4 linked regions of the Caenorhabditis elegans genome follow. The protein of the gene in region 2 purifies or fractionates together with the protein of the main gene of each other region. This does not show direct contact. Each region holds a gene or a part of one and is shown on either strand. Other genes may lie near its edges.

The links.
Region 1: the proteins of atp-4 (region 2) and sdz-27 purify together in Caenorhabditis elegans (affinity purification with mass spectrometry, with the first as the bait; one large-scale study listed by BioGRID). This does not show direct contact.
Region 3: the proteins of atp-4 (region 2) and isp-1 fractionate together in Caenorhabditis elegans (co-fractionation; one large-scale study listed by BioGRID). This does not show direct contact.
Region 4: the proteins of atp-4 (region 2) and srfb-1 purify together in Caenorhabditis elegans (affinity purification with mass spectrometry, with the first as the bait; one large-scale study listed by BioGRID). This does not show direct contact.

Annotation. Positions count from the first base shown.
Region 1 is NC_003282.8:11,183,202-11,190,562, reverse strand, and holds sdz-27 (SKN-1 Dependent Zygotic transcript), read right to left. Parts: upstream 3,535-7,361; 5' UTR 3,507-3,534; coding exon 3,447-3,506; intron 3,398-3,446; coding exon 3,284-3,397; intron 2,801-3,283; coding exon 2,354-2,800; 3' UTR 2,299-2,353; downstream 1-2,298. Other genes in the region: fbxb-79 (F-box associated domain-containing protein), read left to right, coding at 1,052-1,672; nuaf-3 (NADH dehydrogenase [ubiquinone] 1 alpha subcomplex assembly factor 3), read right to left, coding at 4,640-4,717, 4,762-4,875, 4,926-5,063, 5,112-5,175, 5,221-5,376, 5,425-5,581, 6,162-6,267; prx-14 (Peroxisomal membrane protein PEX14), read right to left, coding at 6,544-6,780, 6,832-7,114, 7,162-7,361.
Region 2 is NC_003283.11:6,424,316-6,431,348, forward strand, and holds atp-4 (ATP synthase-coupling factor 6, mitochondrial), read right to left. Parts: upstream 2,798-7,033; 5' UTR 2,796-2,797; coding exon 2,553-2,795; intron 2,228-2,552; coding exon 2,081-2,227; 3' UTR 1,931-2,080; downstream 1-1,930. Other genes in the region: T05H4.11 (DUF4706 domain-containing protein), read right to left, coding at 393-579, 627-707, 756-840, 890-984, 1,040-1,128, 1,433-1,528; alh-4 (Aldehyde dehydrogenase), read right to left, coding at 3,611-3,640, 3,731-3,869, 3,915-4,044, 4,092-4,408, 4,467-4,564, 4,726-4,858, 4,909-5,390, 5,439-5,597.
Region 3 is NC_003282.8:8,132,928-8,140,973, forward strand, and holds isp-1 (Cytochrome b-c1 complex subunit Rieske, mitochondrial), read right to left. Parts: upstream 3,129-8,046; 5' UTR 3,114-3,128; coding exon 3,072-3,113; intron 2,854-3,071; coding exon 2,797-2,853; intron 2,750-2,796; coding exon 2,632-2,749; intron 2,588-2,631; coding exon 2,444-2,587; intron 2,400-2,443; coding exon 2,338-2,399; intron 2,293-2,337; coding exon 2,037-2,292; intron 1,985-2,036; coding exon 1,908-1,984; intron 1,304-1,907; coding exon 1,229-1,303; 3' UTR 1,089-1,228; downstream 1-1,088. Other genes in the region: sph-1 (MARVEL domain-containing protein), read right to left, coding at 371-489, 546-620; islo-1 (Interactor with SLO-1), read left to right, coding at 3,671-3,673, 3,906-4,023, 4,434-4,638, 4,845-5,160, 5,515-5,645, 5,697-5,997; Mitogen-activated protein kinase pmk-3, read left to right, coding at 7,319-7,570.
Region 4 is NC_003279.8:8,091,671-8,100,299, reverse strand, and holds srfb-1 (Serum response factor-binding protein 1), read right to left. Parts: upstream 4,561-8,629; coding exon 4,048-4,560; intron 3,665-4,047; coding exon 3,513-3,664; intron 3,468-3,512; coding exon 3,185-3,467; intron 3,101-3,184; coding exon 2,945-3,100; intron 2,642-2,944; coding exon 2,519-2,641; intron 2,395-2,518; coding exon 2,145-2,394; intron 2,095-2,144; coding exon 1,934-2,094; 3' UTR 1,856-1,933; downstream 1-1,855. Other genes in the region: rme-8 (J domain-containing protein), read right to left, coding at 5,183-5,298, 5,489-6,072, 6,152-6,442, 6,510-6,963, 7,885-7,908, 8,019-8,229, 8,318-8,425.

The sequences.
Region 1 (7,361 bases), on a different chromosome or scaffold from region 2:
CGGGAAAGCTCGCTCCAAAACTCTACATCGTTTTGCAGGTAGAAAATGCGTATCATTCATTGCAGTCTTCTCAACTTTAACTTTTTCAAAAAGTAATATATTACAGGAAAAAGGAGGCAAGTTTCCCAAAAAAGGTCACTGTTCTCCGTCCAACCTCATCGTTCGTGCCAACTCCAGTCACATTATGACCAAAGATTTAATGAGAGATTGGGTTGAAAGTGCAGTGTGCGATCCTGCGATGCCGAAGGAAACCGTTCTTCTCCTTGACTCATGGCCAGCATGGAAAAATGAAAGGGACGTACAAGACGCTGCGCTATATGGACACACGGTCCACGTTCGTACGATTCCACCTGGAGCGACTTCTTTCATTCAACCTTGTGACATCTACCTCTTCTGCCCAATGAAAAACTTCGTCAAAAAAGTTCAATCCCATAAAAAATTTTTTCAAACTGGGGAAAGCCGTCCTGGGCTCAATTTTGCTCCAAACTTAGTGCCGTTTTCTGCTCCACCGTGGGGCAAAATATTTCTAGTAGGATTTCAAATATTAGAACATGAAGTCACACGGCTCTAGAGTTATTAACGAAAACAAAAGGGGACATTTTTTCGCAAGCCAAAAAAAAACGCAAAAAAACGCGAAAAAGGGGCGGAGTCTGTACACTCGGCATTTATTAGAGGCTGCTTGGCAGAAATGCGTTTTTATTATTTATAATTTGTAAAATAATAATTCATTTTCAGCGTGATTATATCTTTCACTTCAAAAGCCGCAAAACGTTGTGTTGTGGCATTGAATATGAATATGCTATTTGTCTGTGTGGATTTGGAGCCGTCAATATCAATTTGCCTTAGAAACTTCAATTTTCTGAAAAATTAATTTTTCGGTTTTCTGCTGATGAGTCTAACAGAAATACACAAAAAACAAACGAAATGGATTTTATTCATTTGGGTCAGATTCTCACGCGTGACTCAGAAGGATATTGGAAATTAATAATAAGAATGCAACTCACAAGATTTATAGATCATATTCTTGAATTGTTCCATCTATCAGGTCTTCATGAACTATCCTTCTGTGAATGCAACTATGATTATTCAACCAATCGTTGAACAGTTCAAAAATTTCAGTATTAGGAAATTATTCCTTTCATTTTCAATTAAAAACATCGAGTTCCATAAACAAATGTTGGAACTATATTCACATCAATTTGAAGAAGTGTATATAATCCAAAATTTTCTAGAGCCCAAAAGATTCCAATCCGTTATCGTCTCAAACTTCACGTTTATAAAGATATGGGAGTACATCCCATTGAAGATAAACGACTTGTTGGCTTCAAATAGTTCCACAATATGTATGGGTTATCAAGTACCCCCAAAAGATATATGTACATTTCTAAAGCATTGGATTCATGGATCGAACGAACAACTGAAGCAGTTAATAATGATGTTTCCTCTCAGTTTTAATAAAAATGATTTTATCCCAATCGCCTTGAATGGTATTAAATATCAATTGGCACCGGTCGAGAGGAAACTTGTTTTTATACAAGATACGTATAAATGGTATGATAAAGAAGTTGAAGTTGAAGGAGGTTTGGATATTCAAAGGATCGATGGAACCAACGCCACTATTACTCTACCTGAAGAGCCGGCTTGGAGTACGATACTGTACGTGTGGGATTAAACTGTTTTGATCACGGAATCATAATATGTATGGCATTTCTGGTACTTTTTTTAAAAATCGATTTCATTCTTGTAATTTTATCCTTTAATTCACGTACTTGATGTTTTGTTCTTCTTGACGAACTATTGTTTTTTTGTTGGAAATATCAATAAACTTGTGGTTCGAAATATTCGATCGTAAAACGGACAAGGGAAGTATTTGGGTTTAATCCCGGACTTCCTAATGAGACATATATTATATTATTTCAAAGGTTCTCCCAGAAAGGCCCCTACAAAAAACTAACTGCAAATAAACATTTTTAACTGAAAAACAAACGGTCTGAAAGATTTTTCTCAGAACCCTCTCATTTTGATTTAATATTTTTTCCGTTTCTTCGAATACCGCTTGGATATAGTCTAACGGCCATTCGACGACAGATATCTGCAATTTTTGCTGCTATTGTATTCACGAAGATGTTATATAAATAGCTGGATTATGAATTTTATGGGAATCTTGCTTCAAAATCAATTTTATGGTTTGAAGTCAATAGTGTTATTAAAACATGCCATCATTGTCCAGATCAGTCCTAGTCAAACTATATTATTAATACCATTATTACATCGCGGAACGTACATTCCAAAGAACTTGACATTTTATTTATTTTTATTCAATTACAATTTTCAAATTTATCAATAAACGAATTTATGCAAAATGAAGTTGATCCTTTTCTTCAACTTTCTTCTTATAATGATGCAATCCAACAGCAATGCAGATGATTACAATCACGGCTGTAACAAGGAGGATTTCCGTGTAGTACTTATGGAAATAGTAAGTGAATGTGTCCATGGTGAACGAAAATTTGATGGTATCATGGATCTTTTCAAACTCTTTGGGATCCACATATCCTTCTTTTTTCTCGGTTTCTCTTCTCAATTCTTCAACTTCTTGATGGTTCATTTCTGGCATTTGAACAATTGAATCAACTTCAGTAACTTTCATTCCGATTGGTGGAAGCTTAATCCAGTTTTCTCTGAAGTAGTACCGAGTTTTACCAATGAAAAGGTATGCATCATTTGGAATCCAAGTTAATTGATGATGGTCAGTGTTTGGAATGGTTGCTGTTGATGATTCATCTTCACTCGATGGTTTCTGTAAACATTTTTATGGGACACTTTACACTTTACGGTACAAAATTGACAGCATCCTTGCAGAAACTTCTTCTTGTGACTTTTGCCCCTTTGAAGAATGGAAACGTAGAAGTATGAAAGATATGAAAAAACTGTGATCAAAAATAAGAAAGTAATTATTCTAATAGCATTTCATCCGATTTCTGGATTCATCACATCCGTAATCTCATCTACAGTTTCATTTAATAACTAGTTTCCTTTAAAAATCATATCAATTTATCAATAATGATGCTTTGCAAATGAAAAAATATACAATAAGTTCAAGAAATTTTAATTCAAACCACGAAAAACCAAACATATAAACGGAGCCTGTGTTTTAGGGTTTTTTTTTTAATTTTCCGTGATTATTTTTTATTTCAGATAAACCTATTTATACCATTCATACGTTTGCTCTATGCATTGATCTAATTATCTAGTAGGTTAGGGTCTTTCAATTTCAACTTACATTTATAATTTGCTCATTTCTCTCTTTTTGCTCGAATCCCATTTGTTCAAAATATTTTTCCATCGGAGTACCCAAGTTTCCATCAGAAAATTGGAAGTCTTTCTCCTTTGATGGCTGAAATAATACATTTGAAAAGAGATTTCAAACAATTTTGTGTACAAACCTTGGCATTGACAGAAAGTAGAACAAGCGAGAGCAGAACAGTGAGCAAATGGAGTTTCATGATTAACCAGAACAGTGAGATTCTGTGCCGACTGAATGAAGAATGAAATCTCTGTCTTGAATCTTCAACAGCAAGATGAAAATGGGCGGGGTTTCCCGGTGATACTGTAGTGGACGGGGCGACGCTGGTTATGGTCAACTGTTTACAACCCCTTCCAAGGTCAATGTGCCGACCGATACGTCCAGTATAATGTAAACAAAAGGCTCTAATTGTAAGCTAGATAAGATAAAGAGGCAGAGAGGAGGGAGAGTTTACAACTAATTGTAAAACTGATCTAAAAGTCAGAGTTGAATTACATATGCTCTGCTTTCTCCAGTATGATCTTTAAATCTGATCTATAAAACATTTAAATAATCCTCCCAGATGTGCGTCTTCTACTCTTTCAAAAACATACCTGAAACGGACTAACAATATACAGGAAGATTCCAAAAATTAATATCTGTTTTAAACAAAAGCGTGCGCTTTTCAATTCACAAGGCGAATGCCACGTGGTGTCAGACTGTCCCATAACGGTATGATCTACAATAAATGCGGGAATTGAAGCAGAGTTTTCATCCAGCGTCGCACGGTTAAAAGCGTGCTGACGTCACACTTTTCTGGGCGAAAAAATCCCGCATTGTTTGTAGATCATACCATTTTTCGTAAACCATACCGTTATTTGACAGTCTGACACCGCGTGCGAACGAACACCCTAATTAATTTGCATCAAATAAATTTTAATCAGAAAAATACGGAATTCACTTTTTTTTTAAATGTTATGCACGTCAAAATACATTTTTGTAACCTTCTATCTTTGAAAAATGTTGCTATTTTGTTTTTCAGGCTATGACAATTCTGCAGCTTTTCCGTCTCTCTGTACACTGGCATCTGGGATGTGAGGTCATTCTAGTGACAACATATGTGTTTTCGAAAAAGAGAGAACTATTTCTCAAGGACGATCTCGGAAACATGATTTTTTATTTGAGCTTTCGGTCATCCTTACGGTAGAAACTAGAAATTTCGAAATGTGCTGGCTTTGATTTTCTGAATTCCAGGAAGATTCGATTCATAAATTTTATATTTTTATTTAATAAAATCAACAAAAACGAAATATAGTTGCTAAGATTTCTAAAAAAAAAAAACAAATTCCAATATTATTCAATTCGTTTCTTTTCTTTATCATTCATTTCTTGTTGCATTCGTTCTTCTCGTTCAGATGGTGACTCAAGTACCTGAAATTAAAATAGATTTATAGATCCATTCAGTTTGATCATACTTTTTGTCTTGCTGATTGCCAACTCTTTTCATCTCCACTCCACAATCGCTTAACCAAATCCTCAGCCCCGTTTATTGTATCAGAAAGACCAGTGAGCAATGGATTTTCTTCAACCTGAAAACACATTTTGAAATAAAAAATATCCGGGCTTTTGAGTAGCCAACCGTGTCCCATCCTTTCAAAAGAGCCAGAGCTCTACCGTATTCCTTATCAGTAACAACCATATCATCTGGAGGATAAAGAGCAGCTCCTACATATCGCCCCTCGGCATTCAGAAAATTGAATGTTGCGATCGCGTCCTCCTGAAAGAGAAATTAATTGTGAAAACGTTAGCAAAATTGTAAAATTACAGTATCCATAATCTCTAATCCAATTTTATGTTCACGAAGGAATGGTGCTACACTGGCTCGAACTCTGAAAAATTGTTTTTTAAATAAAAATATTTTTTCTAGCTCATACTTGTCAATATTCTTTTTATCCCCAACTCCTAACACAAGAATGTCAATTTTTGGTTCAAGAGCAGCAAAAAGAGCAAGTGATCGTGGAGTGATGTCTTCTGGAGTTGGAACACGCCACGAAAGAGCCGTCTTTGGAAACAAGGCGATTGGGCCATATCTGAAAAGTTATTTTTGAAAGCAAAAACTCTCAATTTTGAGAACTCACAAAAATGTTCCATCGAGAAGTCGAAATCCATAGCATGAAAGTCCACGAACTCCAATTTGTTTTGCTTCGAGCATTTCCGTAGATAACATTGAAATTCGACTACGATCTGTCATGTCAGACTCTTCAAGTGGATTTATATGATAACCATCGAGTACACCTGTCAAGTTAAATATATTGTTTTTTAGAACTATTTTTTTCAATTTATAATGAATAATAAAATTGTAGCTAGTGGTATTACCCATACACGAAACTTTGCGATTCTTACCGGTCTCGACACGGCAAATTCTTGTTGAGTGCAAGAGGGTGTGCACCTTTAAAGATTACTGTAGTTTCAAACTTTCGTTGATCATCATGATGTTGAATTTTTATCAATTTTTCATAGTTTTTCTATAAAGATATACACATTAATTTATGAAAAACTTAAATTTTACAATAAAAACACATAAATTTTAACAAATCTTGAGAAAACCTACGAAAAATGGAATAAAATTCTTAGAAATGAGAGTGGGAATTTACAGCACTCATTATTTAAAGGAGTGTACTTTTTTGCATTAAAAAAAGTTTTCGTGTCGAGACCGAGTACCGTATAAATAGCTTCGTGACTGCAGGTTTGATGAATTGGAAAAATATCAGAAATCGAGTGTTTACAAATTTTTGCCGAATCCAAAACGGAATAAACGAAAAGTAACGGATGCTAAATAAATACATTTTTTATTAGTCAAAAAACCTAAAATTACCAGTGTCTGCCCGATTCGCATCTCCTCCTCCTATCGTATTTTTTGATGAACTGCTCAGAAATCGACGAGCTGTCTGTGCTCCGAGAGCAATCAACGATTTGTTCATTATGCCTAAATAACAAATGTTTATTTCATGCAACACATTTTTATTCTGATAATTTATATCTGGTTTCTCAACCATTTTGTGAAATGAAACGTTCAGATGTCGATATGATTTTCTTTCGTAATATCACAGATGAAATTAACAATCTTTGGAATGTGGCACATGAAAAATGAAAAGGCACAGTGAATTGATGAGAAATCACAGAAAAAGGGAATGGCTTTCGAGGAGTGCATTAAAAATGATTAATTTAATTATATATTTACATAGATTTCTGAAATTCTATTCAATATTTTCAATATCTGCCAACTCGTCAGCTAATGACGATTCTTTGAAATTGGCTGGAGGAGTTGCATATCCGGAAGCTGCTTCAGAAGTTGTAGTTGTGGTGATTGATGTTGCAGAAGTTGGAGTTGCACTCTGCTGCCATGATGGAATTGATGAAGTAACACTAGGTGTTACGATTGGAGCAAAATTATGTTGACTGAGAAGTAAACTTTTTATCGTGGAAATTCCGCTCTGAAAATTATTGAAATATTAGCATTACAAAAACCATCTTCTAGAATTCACCTCAACCCGATTCAAATCAGCATCTCTGTTAGCAACTGAGTAGAGGGCTCTTGAAATTTCTGATTGTTGTGTTGCAAGCTGTTGTGTTGTTTGCGAAACAGAATCCATTATGAATTTTATTGAATTCTGAAGATCGTCGACTTGTGATTGCAGTTGACGAATTTCCTCTGTTGCTGGATCAGGAATATCGAAGAATCTGGGCAGAACATATGATCGGACGAATCGATATCCAGCATATGAAATCGATCCAAGTACCACAGCTGATTGTGCAAATGATACTATTCTGAAATTTGCGGTGATATTTTGAAATCAATAATTTCATTTACAAACCCATTCTGTTTTGGAGCAATCATCATTTGCGGATGACCTCCTATTGGAATCATATTCTCTGTTCCAATTTGACTTCTCAACTGCTCCGGCGGAATAGATGCTCGTGCTTCCAAGATTTCAGCCTCACTGACTCCTTTTCCTAATAAAAACTGTCGTTGTTCTTCAAATGGAGTCTCTTTAACTTTTGGAGTTAGCATAAA
Region 2 (7,033 bases):
AATTGAAAAAAGGCAATTGAGAGATGAACTGAAATTAAATGAAAGAAAGGCACATTAAATTTTAGAGTATCGGCGAAAGGAATGAAATGGGTTGAGGGAAAGAGATGAAAATTAGTGGAATGGTAACTTTAATTTTTAAAAAATTTTGGAGATTAGGAATAAGGACATGATTTACAATAGAACAAGAGTAAATTTGATCAGTAAATGAAATACGAACAGAATTTGAGATAAGACAAAACGAAATTATATATAGAATTGCGGGGAGACGAATAGATGTTCTTCTTTGGAAGACGGTTGAAAGCTCTTGATAGTAGATAAAATCCGTTAATCGGTCAGTTTTTGCATTGGGATTTGTGAACATTGTAGTTGTTGCTTCTGCTGCGTGGTCTTTCTTAAAATTCGACATCACTCCAAAAGTCGGATCCCTTGGCCGTTACGAAATCGTTTTCTTCTTCTGATTTTGAAGCTCGACGTGACCTGCTCACTTTTTGAGAATTTGTGCATGGTAAGACACCTTTGAAAGCATTCTCGACCGCTTCGTTGTCGTCCAAGAAGAACTCTTGAGGACTCTTTTCGTCTCTAGAATAATTCATTTTAATATCGGGCATTTTATCAGAAAAACTCACTCAATGAAGGGTGAAACTATTTTCTTTTTTGTATCGAAGCGGAGAATGCTAGCTAAGCGAAGATTGCTCAATGACGGTGAGCTAAAAAATTTAATTTTAAAACAACATAAACCATCAAATAATCCTTACGTAACGATTTGAGTCCAAGCAATTCGCATTCCCTGCTCGGCAAATAATTCGAATGGAACCGAGTCATCCGATTCGTCAGAAGCATCTAAAATACGCTTATTGATAACTGGATTATTAAAATTTTAATTTAATACCGCTCAACTCGAGTTCCTTCTCATTCGAATCGAAGAAGTTGCACAGCGAGAGAAGCTCCTGTTCTCGTTCACTTCGAGTTTCTTTGTCGAGATTGCTGGAAAAATGGAATTTTAAAAAATAGTTTTAATAAATTACAGCTTGAAACATACAAGCAATCAGCGACGAACGTCCATTCCTGATTCGTTTTACCAACAAATTCGGATGTTGACTCCACAGTTTGTGTTTCAAATCGGACACTCTGCAAAATACGTTTATTAATTAATGAGTTATTATTCATACTTTTATTGCTCAGGAAATGTGTTTCTTTAAATGGAAATCTTACCAGATCATAAGATGAATGCCATAGAGAAACTGTTCTTGTTAAAGTATTTGAACAACGCATAATAACCACGTAGCAGATACGCAAAAAAAAAAAGAATCCCTATCTTCCGACGAGCATCATGGGGTCACAATGATGTCATATCGAACGGTTGACCTTCCAGTCTTCCATTAGAATCCCGCCTACACTACTTCCCATCTTATCTGTTACATCAGTAACGAACCTTTCGCTTCGTGAGCTCTCGTTTCTGGACATGCGATATTTGTCGTTGTGAGTTTACAGAGACTCTGGTCGATGACTCCTTTGAAAATTCGACCATCTTAAATATTGGAAATGGAATTTTAAAAATGCGTGAGAGAAAAAAACACAAACCTTTTATTAATTTTGAAATGACTAGAGTTTTGAATCCATTTCGGCGGAACGAAAACCTGCAATTTGAAATCGTGTGGTATATGAGTAGCAAATAAAAGGTCGTCTGTCGCGTCTGCGCAATGGTGCTGGGTTAGTGTCTGTGTGATGACGTAGGAGGCTTGCGGACAGACAGGTCTGCCTAATGGTGCACCCCAAATCGGCAATGGGGTGCCGTTCAAAAGAGTATTCACGGGTTGGGGAAGAGTTTGAATATGTTTGCTCGTAGAACAACTGTACAACCCATGATTTGATTGAACGAGTTTAAAATGGCTGATAACAAGCCACTTTATCGAAAAATTTTGAATGAGAATAATAAAAATAAGCTTCGTGACTAAAACAACAAAGTTTACAAAAGAACAGAGAGAAATTTCAAAAATTAAGGAACAAAAACGTTCATTCGGTCTATAGACGATCTATTACAAAAAGAAACAATACACCATTCAAAATCGAGAGCTTAAATTTATTGCTTGAGGGCAGCATTACGGGCGGCTTGTTCGGCTTTCTTGGCATCACGGGAGGCAACATATTCAGAGTGGTCCTTCTTGACTCCTTCAAGAAGCGAAGCCAATGTTTGTCCTTCAAGAGCGGATTGAACTGCAGAGTCAACCTGGAAACGAGCATTTTAATGTTTTTTTTTAACTCAGCACTTGGAACAGCCTATTAATAATCTAAAATTTATAAGATATACATTAATCGGGTTACTTCTGGTTCTCAGATTATCAAATATATTTACAAAAACAAAAGCTGATTTTTTAAAAATTATTTGAAACTATTTTGGTTATTAATCGACAAAAATAAGGATGTTTCTTTAATTTACTTCGATAATTCATTTAAAAATTGTTCAATCGAGCGATACTTTTGTAACTGAAATTTTTTTTAGCTAATTTTATTTTTTAAATAAATCTTTGTTTGTTTGTCTTCATTTATATTACCTTAGCAGCTTCAAAGTTAGTTGGGAGCTTCGAAACAACATCGGCGTTGGCGAGCTGGAACTTGGTGGCCAATCTGTTGAGCTCTTCCTGGAGAGCCTTCTTAACGGCTGGATCAGAGTTAGCCAGGTTACCGGCGTTCTTGGCGATTTCGCGGATCTTGGTGACGAAAGTCTGCTGGATCAAGTCCTGGCGGCAAGCCGCGGTGGTCGAAAGAGAACGGACTGATTGGACTGCGCGGAACATACCTGAATATAAATTTAGAAATTGTTTTCTGTTCAAAGGATGTTTATAAGTATCGAAGAAAAGGCACCGGAAACCAGGAAAATCAAACAAAGCGCAAAATTCCACAAAACAATGATTTATTAAAATATTTACAAAAATAAACATACTCAAGAGAGGGGAGGAAAATTTAAAAAAAAAATGAAAATGAACGTTTGGCGGATCAATGAAGATTGCGAGCATATTTCTGAAAATATCGGGAATGAAAATTAATAAAATTATTGCTTTAAATTGAAACTACACGAATTTTTAATATTTGGGGACACTTTTCATGCGGGAATTGGTTATGGACTAGAGTTTATGGAATGATTAGAAGATCCGGTGAAAAAATTGACTAGGAATTTGTGAAAAAAAAAAGAAGTTAAAAAATAGGGCGAGACGGAAGAAGAATAGTGGTGTGAAAGTACGTAAGAGTGAACATTGACCGCACGACTAGTCCGCAAACACCGAGCCTACTGTACGCCATTTCGCGTTTGCCACCTCCACCAGCATGTCTCGATTTTATGCCGAGAAGCGGAAAATGAACTGAAACTAGTATTATTTTTTCTGTATTTATTTGTTATCGAATTGGTACTAGTTAGCTGAAGCATAAAAACAAAGGATGTGAAGGACCTTCGAAACATAAGGAGCCTTTGGAGGTTACAAACGGGAAATATCCGTACAATAACTGATTTGAATAGTTTATTGTTAGATGTTTGGACATAAGTTAGTGAGGCAAATTGGAAAGCAACAAAAATATGTGAATATGATAAGCTAAATATCACGTATTTTCGCAGTAATTAATCATCCTGTACATTTCTAGAACATTTCTGAAAAATTGTACTGCGATTTGTGAATTAATCTAGTGAAGCAGGTGCTGACTGTGTGAGAATCTATTGAGCTGATTTTCCTCTGCATACCTGGAAGAGCATTCCAAAAACGAATGAGGCCATTACGATAGGAAGAGTCGCAACATTCATCAGATTCAGAGAGATTCGTTTTCCCGTGAGGCGTCGCATTTGATCGAGCTTTTGTTGGCTTAGTGGCGGGTAACGAGCTCTGAAATTAATGCGATTAGGTATCGAAGGTTCGGAAAAAACGTACGCTAAAAGAGATTCTCCGAAGAATCCTCTGTGAAGCACAGACTTTTCATGGGTGAATGTGTCAAATCCATACTTTCCACGGTAACGTCCCATTCCAGAGACACCTACTCCTCCGAACGGGAGAGTATCAACTGTAATTCAAAAATTATTCAGATATTTTAAAATTAAAATAGCATACCAGTAATGTGCATCAACACATCGTTAACAGTCACACCACCACTGCTAGTCTCATTCAAAAGGCGTTTAACTTTAGCTTCATTTCTTGTGAAAATGTAAGCAGCCAGAGGCTTCTCTCCATCAGCAATGTACTCAAGCGACTCCGAGAAAGACTGGACAGTGATGATGGGCAGGACTGGACCAAAAATCTCATCATGCATGAATGGATCAGATTTCTCAACGTCAAGGACAGTTGGAGGGATGTAGAGATCTGCACGATCACGTTCTCCACCGATAAGAACAGCTCCTTGAGTTTTATCGAGAAGCCCAGAGATGCGACTGGAAGAAGAGTTCAGATTAAATTATATAAATATTGTAAATAGTTAAATAAACTAACTCGAAATGTCTCTGATTGATCATTCTCGCGTAATCCTTGCTTGCTTTCACATCCTCGCCATAAAATTCGTTCACATATTTGCGGATTGCGGCAACAAGCTGAAATTTTTGGATATTCTTTTTGTAGTCTAGTTAGCTGTAGGGTGCGATATCAATAATTGTTTATCAAACAGTTTGTATCTCTGTCATCACCAACCATATCATTGATCAAAAATGGAGGAAAAATCAACAAAAAAATTAATTTTTTAACTAAAACTGACCTTCGGCTTCACAGTGCTATTCACAAGAATGTAGTCTGGTGCCAGACAAGTTTGTCCGCAGTTCAGCCATTTTCCCCAAGCGATTCTTTTAGCAGAAATATCAATGTCAGCATCATCTTCAACAACGACCGGGCTGAATTAATTAAATTTTGAAATTGTTCAAAAATCAATCTATAGACTTACCATTTGCCTCCCAATTCCAATGTGACTGGTGTCAAATGCTTTGCAGCTGCTGTCATAATAATTTTGGCAACTGGTGGGCATCCGGTGTATAGAATATGATCGAATCGCTCTTTGAGCAAATCGGTAGTCTCTGGGATACCTCCGTTCACGACAGTCACGTATTTTGACTCGAAATACTTTGGAATGAGCTTCTCAAAAGTTGCGGCAACATTTTCGGACAGTTCGGATGGTTTGATCACAACTGTATTTCCGGCGGCAATTGCTGGAACCATTGGGAGAAGGATCATAGAGACCGGATAGTTCCATGGGGAGATGATGAGTACAACTCCTTTTGGATCTTTCTCAATTACTGGCTTATCGAGAGCAGTTGTGAAGGTCTTCTCAACGTGGGTTGGCTTCACCCAGTCATCAATGTTCTTCAAGAAATAGTCAATCTCTTGAATGGTCATTCCGATTTCTAGAATTTCAGTGGATTCATGGCGCTGAAAATGTTAGAAATTTGAATTTTATACTTGAAAATTCTAACTTACTCTTCTCAAATCCTTCCAAACAGCTTCTGACAAAGCCTCGCGGTTCTCCTCGATAAACTTTTTAAGTTTCAGAAGTTGTTGTTTTCTGAATTTGACTGGTTTTGTCTCTCCTGTACGGAAGTACTTGCGTTGGGTTTCCACTAGTTCGGTGAATGCCATTTCTGAAAAATCAGCAATGAAATTGAAGGAAAATTAAATTTATAGCGAGCGTTTTCAGAATGGTCAACGTGACCTTCAAGGGTCAGCCTGGGGTTATATACTGCCTAGTTATCATTATCAAACGCAGTTGCCTAAATAAATTTTCTGGTAGATGATGTATGTTTCATGAAGGACAGAGAAGGCGGAGGGGGGCAAGTCAACGAAAAAAAAACGATATTCGGAGACGAGAAGGAAGCGGTCAGAATAATGATGATCACATGACGACAGTCGCGCAAACAAGTAACCAATCATATAGAGAAATGCCAAAATATTTTAATCGCCGTTAGCAAAATATTTCGTGAAATTGAAGTCTAGAAAACTGATGAAATCTAAGTTTCAGTTATCAACTGCCGAAATTTGGAATGATGATTTGTTGGAAACGTTTTTGTCTATAACAATTTAGATGTATACAACTCATTGAAACATTAAAATACGTTCAGTATAAGAATTTACGCAAATCTAAAAACAATAGACATTTTACAAAGTTAGTTAGGTTTGAATGATGTCACTATTTCTATTTAATTGGGAGGGTGGAGATTGTTTTCGGGTATAGTGTGAGATCTAGGCGCAGTTCAATTCAGTGATCAACTTGTGGTCAAGTATGTAGATGAAACTTCATACGACTTGACTCATTTTATAGATTGATCTCAAGTCTAATCTCGAAAAAATGTTAGATTTATGTTTTCAACCGTAACCTATCATTATTTTAACAGACAGAAAGTTCGACCAAAAAGAAGATAATTATCGATATAACCGTCGAGAACTTGGATGTTTCTCGGGAGGGAAAGGGAAACTTCAAGGACGAAATTTCACGGCGTTGTTTTGTTTGCTACTAGCTACAATTTCTCGGCACTGAAACAGGAAGAAAATGTGAAAAGGAAATTGTAGAGTAAACAGTTGTGGAACTGTAATTTCGGATTGCATGTTTGTTCTACACACTTCAGCAAAAAGTGACCCTTTGAATAGGCTGCACATGGTATCAGTTGTGGGAAAATGTATGATAAGAAAGAAATGGAATGGAGGCCATGTCAATAATTTCTTCTTTAAATATAGTTTTCTCAATTTTTGGAATTAAATCCATAATAGAAACGTTTTTAAAAATACAGTTTCAGGTTTTTGGATTAGGAGATCAAAAGCGAAACATCCGAACCGGGTTCAATTTTAAAAGTGAACCTGATCCCGATTGGATACAATTCTTGCGGCAAAAGTGTAGCCATCGTCCACCGGACACTGACACAAACGACCACATATTGTTGAAATGGGGGGGAGTTGGAAGAATGGGAAAGATAGAAGTGAGCAGCATGCTAGAGTGTAGCTAGCGTTAGATATTTGGACAAGACAATGACTATGGCGAACACACAATTTCTCCAACATCATGTGATCATTGACTCTATATT
Region 3 (8,046 bases), on a different chromosome or scaffold from region 2:
ACGGTACCCGGTCTTGACACTACGAATTTTAGTTTTAAGTAAAAACAGGTGTGCGCCTTCTAAAAGAGTACTGTAATTCCAAACTTTCGTTGCTATGAAATTTTCGTAGATTTTTCGTAGTTTTCCTTAATTTTGTTCCAATTTTAGTGTTTCTATTTTTATCTTTAATTTTTTTATACATAAATATAATTTTATCGAAAAATCGATAAAAAATCCTCAGCAACAAAAGTTTGAAATTACAGTACTCTTTAAAGGCGCACACCCATTTGTATGTGACACAGCATTGTCGTGTCGACCGGGTGCGGTATTTTCTAAAATTTAATAGTTCAATTAAGCTTTTGAAATTACATATTCAATTCGTGAAACTTACGAAAATGTGTAGACTTTTTGTGTACTATTTCTCGTTATATTACCCGTTCCATCAACACAGTGGTAATTCAATTCCAATCCCCAACTGTTAATAGCGGCTATCGCAATGATTATGAAAACCTGAAAAGAATCACAAATGAATTTTCTCTCAAAAGAAATTCAAAAGTTTTCCTTACAAATTGAATAATTCTTATAAATCCTAATGGGAATTTGAATGCAGATATATTTAATTGTGCAGGAATCGAAGGCATTTTTTCGTCTGAAAAATTGAGACGTAATTCGTAGGAATCGATCAATAAAATCAAAAACTGATGAAATATCGAAAAATAACAACAAAAGTGCGTAAAAGGAGAGAGAGAAAGAGAGCTTGCTGTGTCATGTTCTCTTTTTGATAACGAGAAAACTTATTTATTACAAGAGATACCATGTTACTGTAGAAACATAGAGAAACGAGACAATTTACTCGACTGTGACTCCTCTGTGGATCAAGTGCCGATTTTTTCGAGGACAGCGATGTTTAGGAGACGCAGAGAATGCCATGACTGTTCTATTTGCCAAGTGGGTTATTTGTATTGGTTATGCTCCGCCTCATCTAGAGAACCTCTTAAATTACGTTTATTCATTCTGCAATGAATTTCGAACAGGAGTGCATTCGGGATCCTAGAAAAAATGGATAAAAACGGGGAAATAATAAAAACAGGCAAACACTAAATAGGACGAAAAATAAACTTTATCTGCCAAGAATACGACGTAGAAAGAAGGGAACAACTACTTTCACAGGAGAAAACCACACATTCGATTAGGAGACGCGAGTTTTCAAAGTGGGGACGGGGAAACTTTTGCAAAAAAATCTGAATATTTAGCTCGATCCAATGACGATGGTGGCATCCTTGAACGAGTATGCTGGTACGTGAAGATTCAATGGAGCTGGTCCCTGGAAAAAATGAAGATTTTGAAAAAAAGATCACCTTTACATTTTTGTGAATTTTATCAACGTTAGGGTGACTTGAAAACATTTTTAATGTCAAATTTAGAAATATAAACACTTTTTTCCGCTATTGAAGTTTTAACTTTTTTTAAATTTTCAACATTCTGAGAGCTTAATTTATGATAAAGATTTTCACGTAAATAATTAGGAATTCAAAAAAGAATTGTCTAATTACTTTTCCTACGTTCGGAAAAAAACTGATTTTCATCAAAAAAAGCGAACTTATTTACTACTCTTTTATTCCGTTTTTTTTAATAAAAAAAAAGAAACTGTAAAAACTAGGTATTTATTTAAAATTATCAAAAGCTTTACTAAGAAATACCAAAATTTACCGTAATAACGGTTAGGATAGGACTGAACTTTCGTTCGTTCCAGAAGATATCTTCTTGTTTTTGTTTAAATTATCTCTCTTTTTATAAAATTTTAAGAGAAAATTACAATTTATCATTAATTATATCAAATCGCGAACTTTTCTTCAATAAATTATGAAAAAAAATTATAAAATTTGAATTTTTCAGATTGTACTACATTTAGCAAATAAATGTCTTACCTTTCTAATACGTCCAGAAGCGTCGTAGTGAGATCCGTGACAAGGGCAGTAATAACCTCCGTAATCTCCAGCATCGGCTGAAAATTCAAAATATGATTTCAAAAATTCAGGAGAAAAAAGACTGCATACCAATTGGGACACATCCAAGATGGGTGCACACTCCAATGACAACGGACCATTCATCTTTCTGCACACGTTCGTCGTCATGTTGTGGATGACGGAGATCGGCGACAGGGACGGCCTTTTCCTTGGCAATCTCAGCCTTGGTACGATGTTTGACGAAGACTGGCTTTCCACGCCATTCGAATGTCTTTGTTTTTCCTTCTGGAATATCAGCCATGTTGATTTCGATCGAAGCCAAGGCACGTTGATCAGCTGCCATAGCCTGGAAAAATTAATTTAAAAACGGTGTAATGGAAATTCAACATACTTTGTAAGAAACAAGAGTCTGTACAACTTCCTTTCCGGCCCACAAAGATAGAACTCCTCCAGCTGTAATAAAACAATGTTTAGACCGAATAAAAAATAATTCGAACCTCCATAATACAGAGCAGTTGGAAGAGCACGACGTTGATCCTCGGTGTCACGGGCTGGCACTTGAGTGTTCTTTGTAGAATCACGACGATAGTTTGACATATCGGGGAATGTCACATCAGTGTGAGCCAAACGGCGAGAGGTGACTTAAAAATTAATGAATTAATATATTAAATTCAATTTCAAATACCATTGATTCCCTTGACAGCAAGTCCATTGGTGAAGACACCTCCGGTGCTGTGACTAACAGCGGCTTGACGAGCTTCAGCCGTGGAGAACTCAGCTGGAACATCGCGGAAAGCAGCGACCTGGATACTAGACAATAAAATAATATTCTGCAACTTTAAATACTTACATTATCGGCGGCTGGTGTTGCGGCAACAAAGTTTACATGTTGCTGGGATCCGCTGATCTGAAAGAAAACTATTTATAAACTATTGGACAAAATTTTAGAACTGTAATCGATATCTTAATCATTTCGACACCGTCCAGTGTTTTGGAACGAGAATAGTTTAAACAAATACATTTTAAACAAAATTTTCGAACGCGTTTCTCGCAAAATATGATTATTTCTCGAATTGAATAGATTATTGGAGTGTTTTTCTTCATATTTGTTCAAAAAATACTTACCACTTTGACTGCAAAACCTCCAGATCTAGCAAGAGAAGCCATTGCCCCAGTTGATGCCTAAAATAATTATTTTAAATATTTTTAAGTTTTTGAAAAAAATAAAACAATTTTTAAAATATGAGAACGGCTAAATTAACAGATCAAGGCAATGAACAACTGAATAAAACGTTTTCAAATTGATGAATTTTGCCGAAATTTGGAATTTTAAAGAATTAAAAGCTGAAAAAAGGCTAAAATTGGGACAAACTCAACGGGCGGACTGTCTGTATGAAGAGACACAGAGAAATTTTCGGCACGCGTCGCCCTCCGCATCGTTGTCAATAGGGCGAACATGCATAGAGACTTTTCCGTGTGCTCAGACGAGAGATTCCTTCTCGTTTGTAATAATCGTTGACAGCAGCATCTCAATTTCAAAATAATGACGCGGGTACGGGTACTAGAGGCCGTTTTGCCCGCACAACACTCGGCGACAAGATATCCGCCACCAGCTGTGAATCGGATGAAAAATACAGAAAGTCGTCCAGCTTTTATTTTTATTCCTGCTCAATAATACAATTTATATTCAGTTCTAGATTTTCTTATTCAAATAATTATTCAAGATGGTAAGTGTTTGATAAAAGATGATCCACACGATGAGGAAATCCACGAAAACATCTGTTGCCACAACCAACACTCCAGTTGACACACCAAACTATTTAGAAAAATAAATTGAGAGAAAAGATGTGGCTGTTTGATACTGCTCTGCGGCACGAGCTCAAAGAGTTGTAATCAAGGTCCAATCGAGTCGTGCCGAAAAGTTTAGCCTTTCCTTCTTCCGGACCTGATTGGTTTCAGATGGGAAGTAAAAGAGGACGCGGCGCGGCACCGTCGAATCAAGAGCGCGTCCGCACACATTTATTCTTCGGATCCAAAGCTGAACGACCACATCAAAAGCGGAAGCGGAGAGCTCAGAGTGGGTTTTTGTGTGGAAATTTGCTTTAAAAAAAGGATATTACGTAGACGTCTAAAGATGATGATTTTTCCTATATTTTACACACAAAGGTCTTGCCACGAAGACGAATTACTGTAATATGGTATCGATTAACAGGTCGTTGAAAATCTTCGGACATCTTACAAAATTTTTAAAAATTACAATTAAAATAAAATTCAAAGAATATGGTACAAGCGGCCCATAAATCGATACCAGCTACAGTAATTATAACCATCAAAGCAATACTGAGAAGTAGTAATTTAAATTGACTTTATGGGTCTCACCACGATGTACTGAATGTAGCACAGAATATAGAGTTGTTGTATTAAATATAAGGGGTTTTCATGTCAATTTGATTCTAAAAACTCATAAATATTTTCGAAATATTAAAGACAAGCTTCACGTAACTGCAAAGGATAAGAAAGACGAAATGGTTCAAGCTGGTGCAAGTGAGATTGATCCTCAACAATGGACTGGAAATCAAAGAGTTCTTCATTTTGGACCAATGGCTCAACGTGATCCATATTTCTATTATTATCCAAAAGGATGGGATATATTGTATCCAGCAACATTTGGATTTTTTCCATATAGAACATCGTTAGTTTTTTGATAATTGAAACTGTAAGCTGGAAATATGAGGGTTGAATAGCTCAACTAAATAACTCGTAGATTATAATTTAATGGAGTATGTCCTAATACATCATATTCAACGCGAAAATTCAACAGAGACGCAGAAAATATACATCAAGTTACTTTATCAAAAATTTAAAAAAAAACCCTGAAAAAAGCATTATTTTTTAAAGAAAATTTCGTGGCTCGTCATCATTGATTTGTTGTACAGCATTCGGCGTTTTTCTCCTAATTGGAGGACTACTAATGTCACTTCTTGGATATAAATACCTTTATACTTCACCATTCTGGACTTGGCCATACGAACAAAGAATACGACCACCACCAATTCAAATTGCGGGTCCTATTTTATTTGGACTCGGATGTTCGTTTTTGATAATTTCATTAATCTACTTTTTATGCACAACAAAGCTCTGTGATCTCTCGTTACACCACACAAAGAAGCACAATGATCCTGCTAGGCTTACGACTATTACAACACATTATGTGGTAAGTCTTTTTGATTAATTGAAAATTCAAATTCAATTAGAAACCCACATGTCCTTGTAAAAGTTGCGACTACACCTTTGAAAATTTCATGAAAGTAATATAAACAATTAAAGCTAACAAATTAACGTCTAAACAAACTCAAAATGATCGTACCATAATTTAAAAAAAACTATTAAAACATTTTAGATTTCTGAAAATGGCATAGTTTTGGTAAATTGCCAAATTAACCGAAACAGCAATGTGTTTGAAACCTTACAAGGCTTAGATACAGTTCACTAGAACGAAGAATGTAGGTAATAATGCGTATCAATTCAAAATCAAAATGTACCCATTTTAGTTGTTACACGTTTACAGCCGCTACCTCCGATCTTTGAGAAAGATCCATATCAACCTCTACCTCCACCTGCGTACCCAGTTCTTGAGAATCGACACGCAATGTCTAATGTAGTTAAGCCACACGATGAAAAGAAACTGTATCCACCAGTGTAAGAACTTCATTCAAACCGGAACAAGATTCTGTAAATCTATAATTTCAGAATTCCTGGATGTTCCACACTTTCCCTTCATAGACGATCTCCGAATAACATTTTTGTAGCAAGTCCATATAATACCCTAAGAGCTACAAGCGTTGGAAGATATCAATCTGGATTCCTTGACACGAATTCAATAATGGAAAATCGGTTAGGATCAAGGCAGCCGTCAGTTGCAAGTAGAAGACAATCAAGTGAAGCTTCAAGTCAAAAAAGATCCAAATCAATGGGACCTTTACATCGAACTAACTCCAATCGAAGCAAAGGATCAGGAAGATCAAGAAGGAGAGAAAATAGTCAAATATAGACATTGTTTTATGATGTTAACCAGATTTATATTGTTTTTTTTTAATTTCAAAATTCTGTATCCACAAAGATCAACCGAAAAGGAGATGAATAATTTGTAGATATTTTAAAATATTTATCTACAATAATATTTTCCATCAACCAAATAAAAAATTCGACCTTCGCCCTTTGTATGTCTTCCTCTCGTTTCCCATTTTTCACTGCGTCTCAATCGCTGCTGACTCATATCTGATTGACCTCACTGTTTCTTCCAATTTCCTTGGTCACTGATAATTATACTTCCGTCTTTTTTCAGTTTTCTCCAGTATTTTTATCATAACATATACTCAAAATCAATCAATACAGGAACGTCTAGTCTACAACTTTATTATAATAACAGGTGAGATATTTTGTTTTTGGTAAACTTCATAATAGTGGAGCGCTGAACAAAAGACGAATTTTCTGATAATTTAAAATTGAAATGAAATATATTATTTACCCTTTATAATTAACTTTGTTTGAACCTAAATATTGCTCATATTCGAACAAACACTGTACACTTTTTTACGAAATTCAAAGAGACGCTACTCAGTAAATAAACAAGAAAATATAAAACAAACTGTAGTGCTCATCTCAATTTAACTGAGCTCACAAGTATTTCACCGATTTTATTAATTACAATTGATTGAGCACCCGAATCTTTTACATAATTTCATGGTAGTTTTGCACCTTTTTTGCATAATTCCTCTTATGGGTCTCGCCATCAGAAAAAGTTCTGAGAATTTTTTATGATCCCTCCATTCCACAATTAATGAAAAAATATTTTGAAAATTTCACAAAAATAGACAAAAACGAATAACATTTAAATCTGACTCTTTGAGACCCAATTCAAAAATATCCATGTGTCTTTAAGTACGCGTTACAAAAATTGCGAGAGAACAATTACTAACAGTTCAAATGTAAATAGATATTGTTAGTAATTGCCAAAACTATGGGAAATTCTTCTATTTAATCTTCATTGATTGAGTTGATTTTTTTGTTGATAAATTCAAAATTCCTAATATTTTCTAAAATATCGAATTTCCTAAAGTTATAGTGAATCCGAAAACCTCCAAAAGAAAACAAAGTAGTGACCATAAACAATAAAAAAATCATTGTTTCACAATTTTTACACTTCACTCCGCAAAAATATAGGTCGCTTGAGTGTTCGAGTTTACATGGCGTGTTTCGCAATAAAACTTTCATTTTGAAATCCCCGACACTCCTCTAATTTCCCCCGACAACGCTTTTCGTTATTGATTTTTTCACTTCAAGCCCTAACTTGAACCCATTTAAATTTACAGATGGCGTCAGTCCCATCGTCATCTAGTCTCCCAGTGTCGCATGTCCGTCGTCATGAAGACGTGTCAACACCAAGTGCACCACCAACCAAACGAAGTAATAATCAATCTCAACCTCCAGAAAGCTACGAACCCAACACCTGGTTGCAACAACAACGAGAGCAGGAACAACAGAAAAAGTTAGCTGCAGAGAATATTAAGAAGCAGAGTATCGAAGCAACGGGAAACAACGAGATGGTTGGGGAGGAGGAAGAGGTGAGGGAGAAAGATTTTAGATTTCGTAAGTTGACGAAAGTCAATCCGCGCGTTTTGTTGATATGCGGAGAATCATAAAAATGATAAAGGTAAAGCTTCAGTATGACTTTAATCTAAGAAATCGACCTTAATACTCTAAAAAGGATGGAAATAAAACATTCCATAATTAATTTTTTTATAATTGTCAAAGTTTCAAAACTAGCTTAATATTTGTAGAATTGACTAGAATTGACATTTTCAGAAGAATCTAACCCCGCGCACGCATAGCTCATTTTTTGAGAAGTTTTTTCTACAAAAATTGCAACACAAAATTATTGCGCCGTCTTATTTCCAAATGATAAAATTGGCACGTGTACTAGAGACCAAACCAAATAGGAAACTGGCTATGTAATGCCTCAGAAATTTAGCTTTACAGAAATAAACATTGTTGACAATATTGCAACCATAGGTATTCCAAAATCTTAATCATCATTATA
Region 4 (8,629 bases), on a different chromosome or scaffold from region 2:
GTCTTTCGTCGCGGAGGGCGTGAGGCGGCGAAAGTGCGAGAATGGAACACCGCGAATTGTGGAGAGAATAGAGAACGCAGACAAAAAAGGGGTGGAGCCTATTGTCTATCAGGGTACGGAATTTTAAGATGGGATCGTTTATCATCGGGAAATTATGGGGACTGTTACATTAGCTAGAATACCTGGGAATACTCGAAGAAAAAGTGGATAGTGCATTTTTTTAGAAATCGACGAATTTTAGAGTAAACTCATGGAAAACTGGAAGATTATCAATTTACAAATAGCATATGAGAAAGTGGAACATAACAAAAAATCAGAGAAATTGAAAAATTACAACTAGTCGTTCAATAAATCGAACTAGAATCACCATTCATGTGGATTTCGACAAATGACATAACGACCAACACCAACGTCTGAAAAGGATCTATTTTAGCAATTGTTCGATGGAAATTCGAATTTTAACACTACAACAAAATAACTAAACTAAGTAGTTGCAACTTAAAAAAATCGAAAAAAATCTGCCGAGTTTTCGAGAAACTTTAAAGAAAAAAAACAAGTTTCTTTTTGTAAAACTGTGTGTTGAAACCTATTGGCATCTTTTCTAGAACTTGATTGAAAGCAATTTTGCAAAATCTGCGCATTAATAGGAACCAAAACTGTTTTTCCGAAGAAAACCGATGAAATATGGAATTGTCAGCCTTATCAAGTGCACCGATATTTCGTCAATTATTTTTCTTTCATTTTTAAAATTTACCACCTTTTCGTACTAATTAACGTCAAAATTGTTAATGTTTGGATAAAAAACTGTGCTTTAAATAGAAAAATGGAAAGAGCCGGAGTTTGATTGCTCTGTGAGCCGAGATGCTCCGCGAATATAATAGTAATTTTAGTAGAAAACAGTTCTTCTCTGCCGAAAAACAAGAATTCCTTGATTTTTTTTCCGGTAGCAGTAACTTTTTTTTGGAGGAACGGTTGCAATTTTTAAAAACTAAAAAACCAAAAACTCGCTCACCAAAGTTTAATTCAACTGAAGCAACGCTTTCTTTTAAAAAAAATTAAACGTCGGCAGTAATAAAACTGAATAATCGATTTAAAAACTCAATTTAAGAAATTGAAGGTGTTCAGATTCATGACGTGGCACACCCTTCTTTATTGAAAAATTAAAGCGAAGATGAGGAGACGAAACGACAAAAAAGGGCAGAGAATATGGGCGGTCTCCGAGGCGGCGGCAGCTGCCTTGCAATACGAAATCTTTTTTTTCTATTGGAAAGCAGCTGAAGAAGGAATCAAATGAGTGTTCGATGATGACAACGGAGAGCTAAGACGGGTCAGAAGTTGATAGAAACATGTAGTATTAATAGTGGAAATTCTCCAAATAGGAGTTGTAAAGAATCCTTGAATTATTTTAAAATATTCAATTCCGAAAGGTTCGATTTTTAAAATTAATTTTCGATTATCGTAACTTCACAAGATTTTGGCATGCCATCTTAAAGGCTCACAGATTTATTCAAATATGTCTCGCCGCGCAAAAAAATGTATGGTAGTTTTTTTTTAAATTTCCGGTCTTCATATTCATTTCCTTTGCATTTTTCAATGAAATGACTTAATATTCATCGAATTATTTCATATTCGTTGTTTCCGTTAAAAATTATTTTAAATCAGTTTTCAAAGAAAAAATTGATTAAAAAAAACGGACCATAAACTTTTTTGCGCGCCGAAACCCATCTGAATAAATCCGTGCGCCTTTAAGTAGGCACGTCAAAATCTAGCGAAACTAGGATATTTGGAAATGCGAGTACAGTGTCTATTCACTGATATCTGAATGATAGTATTATCGAACAAAATGGAACAGAAAGAAAAGAAAAAACAGTTCATTTAAAAATTATAACAATAACAAAATAGTTAACAATCAAGGAATAACAACAATAATCGATTATTCTTCTTCATCATCTCCAAAAGTGATTTTCTTTCCACAGGGTTTAGCCGAGGCGAGCTCTTTCTTTTTAAGTTGACTAGCAATCCAGGATGGATGCATTTCACCAGATACTGCACTTTTGCTTGAACCTTTCTTCTTCTCAACCACAGCTTCTGACTCTGAAAATTGTTTCAAATATTTAGAAACACAAAAATAACAATAATCTTACTTTTTTGGGTTCCTTTTTGGAATCTTTTGTCAACTTTTTCAACATTTTCCGACGGCTTCTTTGGTATAATTTTTCTGGGAGCCACTACTCCAGATTTTGGTAAAAAGAAAGAGCTGCTTTCATCATCGTCATTCTCATCTTCTGATACCGGAGCAACAATTTTCGCTGATTTTGGTGCTGTTGTGGAAAATTTCTGTGCTTTTGCAATTTTTCCACCTTTCGATAAATCAACTTTCATGACAAGAGTTTTCTGTAAAAAGTCTGCAGTAGTTTTAAATTTTGATGGTTAGAGTTTCTGAAATGAAAATTGAAAAAATTCAGAAACATTTACTCCGGAAAGGGTAAAAATCTAAAATAGATTTATTGAAAAGTACCTGATCTGATTCATCATCGGAAACTTCATTCTCCTCCACTTTCTTTTCTTCAACTTTTTTAACAATTGGAGCTGACTTTGTTGGCTTCTTTGTACTTTTATTCGACTTTTTGGGGTTTTTCACCTATAAATTCGGAGATAAATAGACCAGACGCAAAAAATACGGTATCTGGTCTCGGACCTTTAATGAGTACTGTGATATTAAATTACTGTTGAATTTTTAACTTTAAAAATAGTTTTTTACATTTTTGAAACTTTAGGAGTTTTTAATTTTTAATTTTAGTTTCATGAAAAATCTTTTCACAAAATTCCGAAGCAACGAAATTGTAAAATTACAGTACTCTTCAAAGGCGTTAATATTTAACAAGAATTGCCTTGTCGAGACCGGGTATCGCAATTTTGGCGCAGAAATCGCAACGAAATCTACCTCTTTAGATTTAAGCTCTTTCTCGAAAATTTGTTTCATTTTCTTCTGATTTTTGACTGTTTCAACTTCTTCATCTTCTTCTTCCACAAGTTTTCGTTTCTTCGGTGCCAAACTTGGCCGATTCTTGTCCTCTTGGACGCCAATGAGTCCGAGTAGCTGAAAATTTTGAGTTTAATTCAAATATAAATCAATAGAGAGCTGTTTGAAACCCGTTAAAAAATATGTGGATATAAAAATTACCAAATTTCTTCTATTCTTTGCAGCCTCCTCTCCAGCTTCTTCTTCATCACTATCCAACATTTCAATATCAGATTGATCGTAGTCTTCCTCGTTTTCTTCGATTTCTTCTTCTTTTTCATTTTCAGAATCTTCATCTTCATTATTCAAATCTTCCAAATTTTCGATATTGAGCTCTTTCTTTTCAGTTGATTTTTTTGACTTTTTCTCTGGTTTATTTGCATATTGTTGACCAAGACGTTGCATAAAAAACGCGGCAGTCTTGTTCCATTCCGTATACTTTTCTCTACAAAATTCAAATTTCATGAGAATAACTTTTTTTTTCATTTACCGAATACTCTGAATTTTTTCGACGATAATTGACTGGCATACGAGCTTGTACATAAGCCTTTCAGCAACTTCTGTTTTTCCATTAATTTTCAGCTCAGCGAGAGATTTCGTGTTCAGGGCAGCGAATTTTGCGACTGAATCCTTGTCGAAAGTCTGAAAAGATTTTTTTTTTTGGAATAATTGATATTTAACAAGCATATTTTTATGCAGACGCGAAAATTTGCGTCAAAAATACGATACCTGGTCTCGACGCGACAAATTTTTGTTAAATTCGAAAAGAAGTGCACTTTTAAAGAGTACTGTAATTTCAAACTTTCATTTCTGCAGAGTCTTCATCGAGTTGTCATAGGTTTTCTCAAGATTTGTTAAAATTTTAATTCTTTTTTTATTATTTGAGTTTTCAATAAGAAAAATAAATGAAAATTCCATAGACCCAAAAGTTTGAAATTACTCAAAGATTTTTCACATTAAGCAAAACATTGTCGTGTCGAGACCGGGTACCGTATTTTTGGTAAAACTTCGCGTGTGTGTAATACCTTTAATCCCAGAATTTCTTCCACAAGTCGAGCAATTTTCCGATCTCGTTCCTCTTTTGATTTCCCATCGACTTTCTGCGATTTTTTCGATTCCAATTGTTTCTTCTGTCTGACGATTCTCGACATTAATTGATTTTTTGCAGTTAGGCACGTGGCACGCAATGCAACTAACTCATTGTTCAATTTTTCAGCAGTCAGAGGAATTTGATCGGTTTTGTCTGTTTTGGAAGACTTTCGAACTCGTTTGGTGACTTTCTTCGGTGTCTTGACTGAAACTTCTCTTGAAGCTTCTCCAGTGACTTCAGAATTCTTGAACTCTTCCGGCGACTTTTCCACCAAATTTGGCATTTCAAATTCAATAATTGGAGCAGCAATTTCAGACATATCGACAACTTTGTAATCCTCCGCCACATCATCTTCGTCTGCTACACGAGCCATTGGCATCTCGAAATCATCTGGAATTTTGGAAGCCGGAGCAGCAGCAGATTTCTTCTTGATGATTTTCTTTTTCATCTGGAAATTGAACTTGAAAAAAAATTAAAAAGTTGTATTTTTTGAGTCACAATTTTCAACATTCTAAAGTCTGGAAAGTTTTGATAAAAATTTGGAAAAAATACCAACAAATTTGAATGTTCTATTTGATAATGAGGAAAGCAATAATTTATATCAAATTTCACAAAAAAAGTTGGTGCGCGAGCAATAATAATTTCTAAAAATATGTATTTTGTCAAAAGTTCACCGTAGACTTGTGTAGGGATCCCAAAATTTCGTGCGCACAAACAATCGAAAGAAAAAAGAACAAAAGTCGAAAAAATCCGCTGAAAATGGGGGAAAAGCACCAGAAGAACAACATTTTCACAAAAAAATCACGGGAAATCAAAAATAATCAAAAGTAGATACGCGACAAGGGGGAACACTTCGAAAAATTATCACATTTTGCGGGAAATTTTAAAAGAGAGGGTTTTGAAAATGAATTTTAATTATTTAAATATATAAATTATTCAGTAAGGAAACTGCTCAAGAATACAAAAGTTCTTGAACAAAGAGAAAAAAAATGAATATGAGAAGATGAAAAGGAGATACAAAAATGTACAAAATTGGAAGGAATTGAAAAATAAATTTTGAGAAGTTCCACTCAAAGTGGTGGTTGGAAATCTCCAGATGTTTGATGCATTGGTGGTGGCTGATTGCTCATTGGTGGTGGATTGAACATTCCTTCTGTTAGATATCCAGCAACACCAGTTGGACCTCCTGGAAATATCATATTTAGAATTTAAACATTCGAAAACCCATCGAAATATGAACAGTGGAGGCAAAAAGTTTATAGTTACGTCATACCACTCTATCCGACCGCATTTTTCAAATTTATTTTGAAACTCCAGGAATGTAGAAACAAACTTTTTTTAAAGTCTATTACTCAATAAGTTACAGTAACCCTTACCTGTAATAGCTTGAGTTCTCGCTTCTGGCAAGAATAAATCATGTCGTTGATCTTTAAACTGTGCCCAGACGGGACTCTTGTCTAAAATCTCAGCAATCTTCTGACCAACTTTCAGATCTAAAATTGCGCTTTTTAATGCGTCAACAATCTCGGCACGAGCAGCTGCTCCGTTTGATACTCCATTCATTGAACTATCCAAAACTTGTAACAAATATGGAACCATTCCACATGAGAGCATTTGTTGAGCCAATTCTCCTGTATTTCTCTTCATGAGACATTTTAAAGCGTGCGCCGATTCTCTCATCAAACTTGGTTGATTCTTCATTGATTTCATTATTCCATCAATACATGGCAGCTGAGAAAGAGCATCACAACAGAATTGATTTTCGCTCAATTCTTGAAGAATTAGAATTGCTGAACGAGACGCAGATGTGTTTTGAAGACACATTGCAGTGCAGAACTGTGGTAGATATCCTTGAGATGGCAATTGATCAGCAGTATTCGGATGATGACGGACCAGTTCAACAAAGGCTTTTGTGACCAAATCGAGTTCTGGAGTTGGACGACTCATCAGTTCAAGCACTCTGGAAATTAGCTTTTGTTACCTATGTTTGTTAGGTAGATAATACAAATTTTAAAGTTCTTATTAAATTTTTGACTCACTTTTCGATGAGCTCTGTTGAGAATAATTTTGGATGTCTGACATTGAATCCTGGATTTTCGACGTATAATCGTACAAAAACACCTCCAACAACAAGTTCACCATTAATACTATCACCATAGGCACAACTCTTGTCAGCCAATGAAGTCGTATTCCATTTGACAGTTGGATCTTTGATGTGTTGTTCATAGAGTTTTCCGACTTCTGTATCAATGATTCCTTTCACTTTTTGACGCGTTACTTCATTCCAAATAAGCTCTGGATTTTCGCTTGATGAATCGAACATTTGAAGGCTGAAAATGTTTATGTTTGTAAATTTTGTTTATAATTGTAAATTTAGGTAGTTTGGAAAAAACTAACGCTGTATTGGGCGAATCTCTCAATGAATCTGCAAATATTTCTGGCAAAAACTTGATAATAAATCGTGTCCATCTTGGCCCAGTAAGCTTATCAGCTTGAAGTTTGGCCAAAAGCTCGGCTGCCTGCAGTCTTTGGCCTTGATCAGAATTTGTCAAACAAAGAATTGATAGAATATACATAAGTCCTCCATGTTCTAACATTTCTTTTCCAATTTGTCCATTTGATGAAAGTGCAATCAGAACATCTAATACTCTTGCTATCATCTTCGGCTGATCACGTAAAAGTGTGAAAAGTGTTGTAGTGACATTACACGTGGCCAAATCAGTTACACATTCCTTATTAGCTGCAGCCAACAGAATGACTTGAAGTGCAGCAATTTGAAGCTTCGGATGTTTTCGACAACGTAGATAAGTGATAAGAAGTGGGAAGTTTCCAATTAGTAGAATTTCAACACCTAAAAAATTATTTTTAATTTTTAGTGAAAATGTTTGAATCAAGGGGAGATAAAGTAGCATTTTTGAGGATCCCCTGTCACATATACCGTATTTCTTCTATTAATATGGCCTCCCTAATAGTCTTGCACTCCCTATTAGTATTGCAAGCGGGAAGACCATCGAAAAATAGTATTGCAGCCATATTAATAGAAGAAATATGGTAGATGAAGATAAAAATTTGGATAAGAACATCTTATGGGTGGGATTTTTTTTTGTTTTTTTTTTGATATTCTGCCAAAAATCTTTTTTGTTGAATTTTCAGAGCGAAACATTTAAAAAGAAAACGTTGTTTATATTTTACAAATTTTATCTTCCTTCTCTTCCATAATCTTCCATAGTTTCAAATTTTTTTCTCAAAGAGATTTAATTCATAATATGATTTTTGAACGTTTCTTTGCCATATAACGTACGCTTTGAGCTAAAATTATTCGTTTTAAAACCAATTCGAATAAATTACGAGATTTTAGGTTTTTCCAGACAATTTATTTTTTGCACCAAAAACCAAAAAAAAAACTTTTCAGAAGAACATTTTTTGATTTCGGTGTTTTTTGTTGCAAAAACAAATTGTAAAAAATCTTTTCGGACAATAAAAACAGATTATTTTACAAAACAGTTATATATTTTATTTTTAGAATGTTTGAGGAAATTCGATTTTTGTTTTTGGTACAATATTAAAACAATTTTTTCAGTTTTCCGGTGAACAGTTGTTTTAATCCCAGAAAAAGAAACCCAGTACAACAGAGGGATTTGAGGGAAACATGCGATTCTTCACTATTTGAAGATTCGTCTAGAAAGCAAAAAAATTTGAGAAGCATTACATCACAGAACACAATTTTAAACTGTTTAAAATTACAGAAATTTACAACATTAAATAATCTTACCCTTTTTGTTTGCAAATAGTGCACCTGGATGGGAGAATATATTATTTTTGAGAACATTTTTTGTTGCAAAATTTTCGAATTTTTATACATTCGTAAAAAAATTCCACATCTAACAAAATATTTTATTTTCTCACCTGGATTCGCTGAAACTAAATTAGCTAATGCAGTCATTGTCATGAGAACTTTTGTTTCTGTGTCCAATGAGTTTCCATTAGCCTGTGATCCATTTCCCCAGTCAATTTCAATCAAATCATCCGAAATTGCTTTAGGTTTTGGAGCTCCGGTTAGTTCTGCCGAGTGTTTTTTGATGTAATCCAAAAGATCGATTGCAACTTTTTTGGGTTCCTGAATGTCGAAATGGTTGTGAAGGAAGTTTGATGAAAGATTTTGTTTTCTACCAAACTTGATGAGACGAATACAAGTTGGAACTTACGTGAAGAGCAAATGTTGGCTGTTCATTGTAGATTCTGATGAATATGTCTCCAACGATAAGCTCATTTTTGTGCACAGATAACTCGAATTCGGCTCCGTACAGCTCACTCTGAAAATCATTTGTTTTTTTAAGGCACCTTTTTTTCTTATTTTTAATTTTTAACAAATTCCTTTTTTCTTTCTTTTTTTCCTGAGTTCGTTTTTACGGAGTTTCCTATTTCGGAAAATACTTTTTAAACGGAAAATATGCTGAAAAATAAATGAAAATTTTTTTTGCAACGATAGTTTGAAATTACAGTACTCTTTAAAGGTG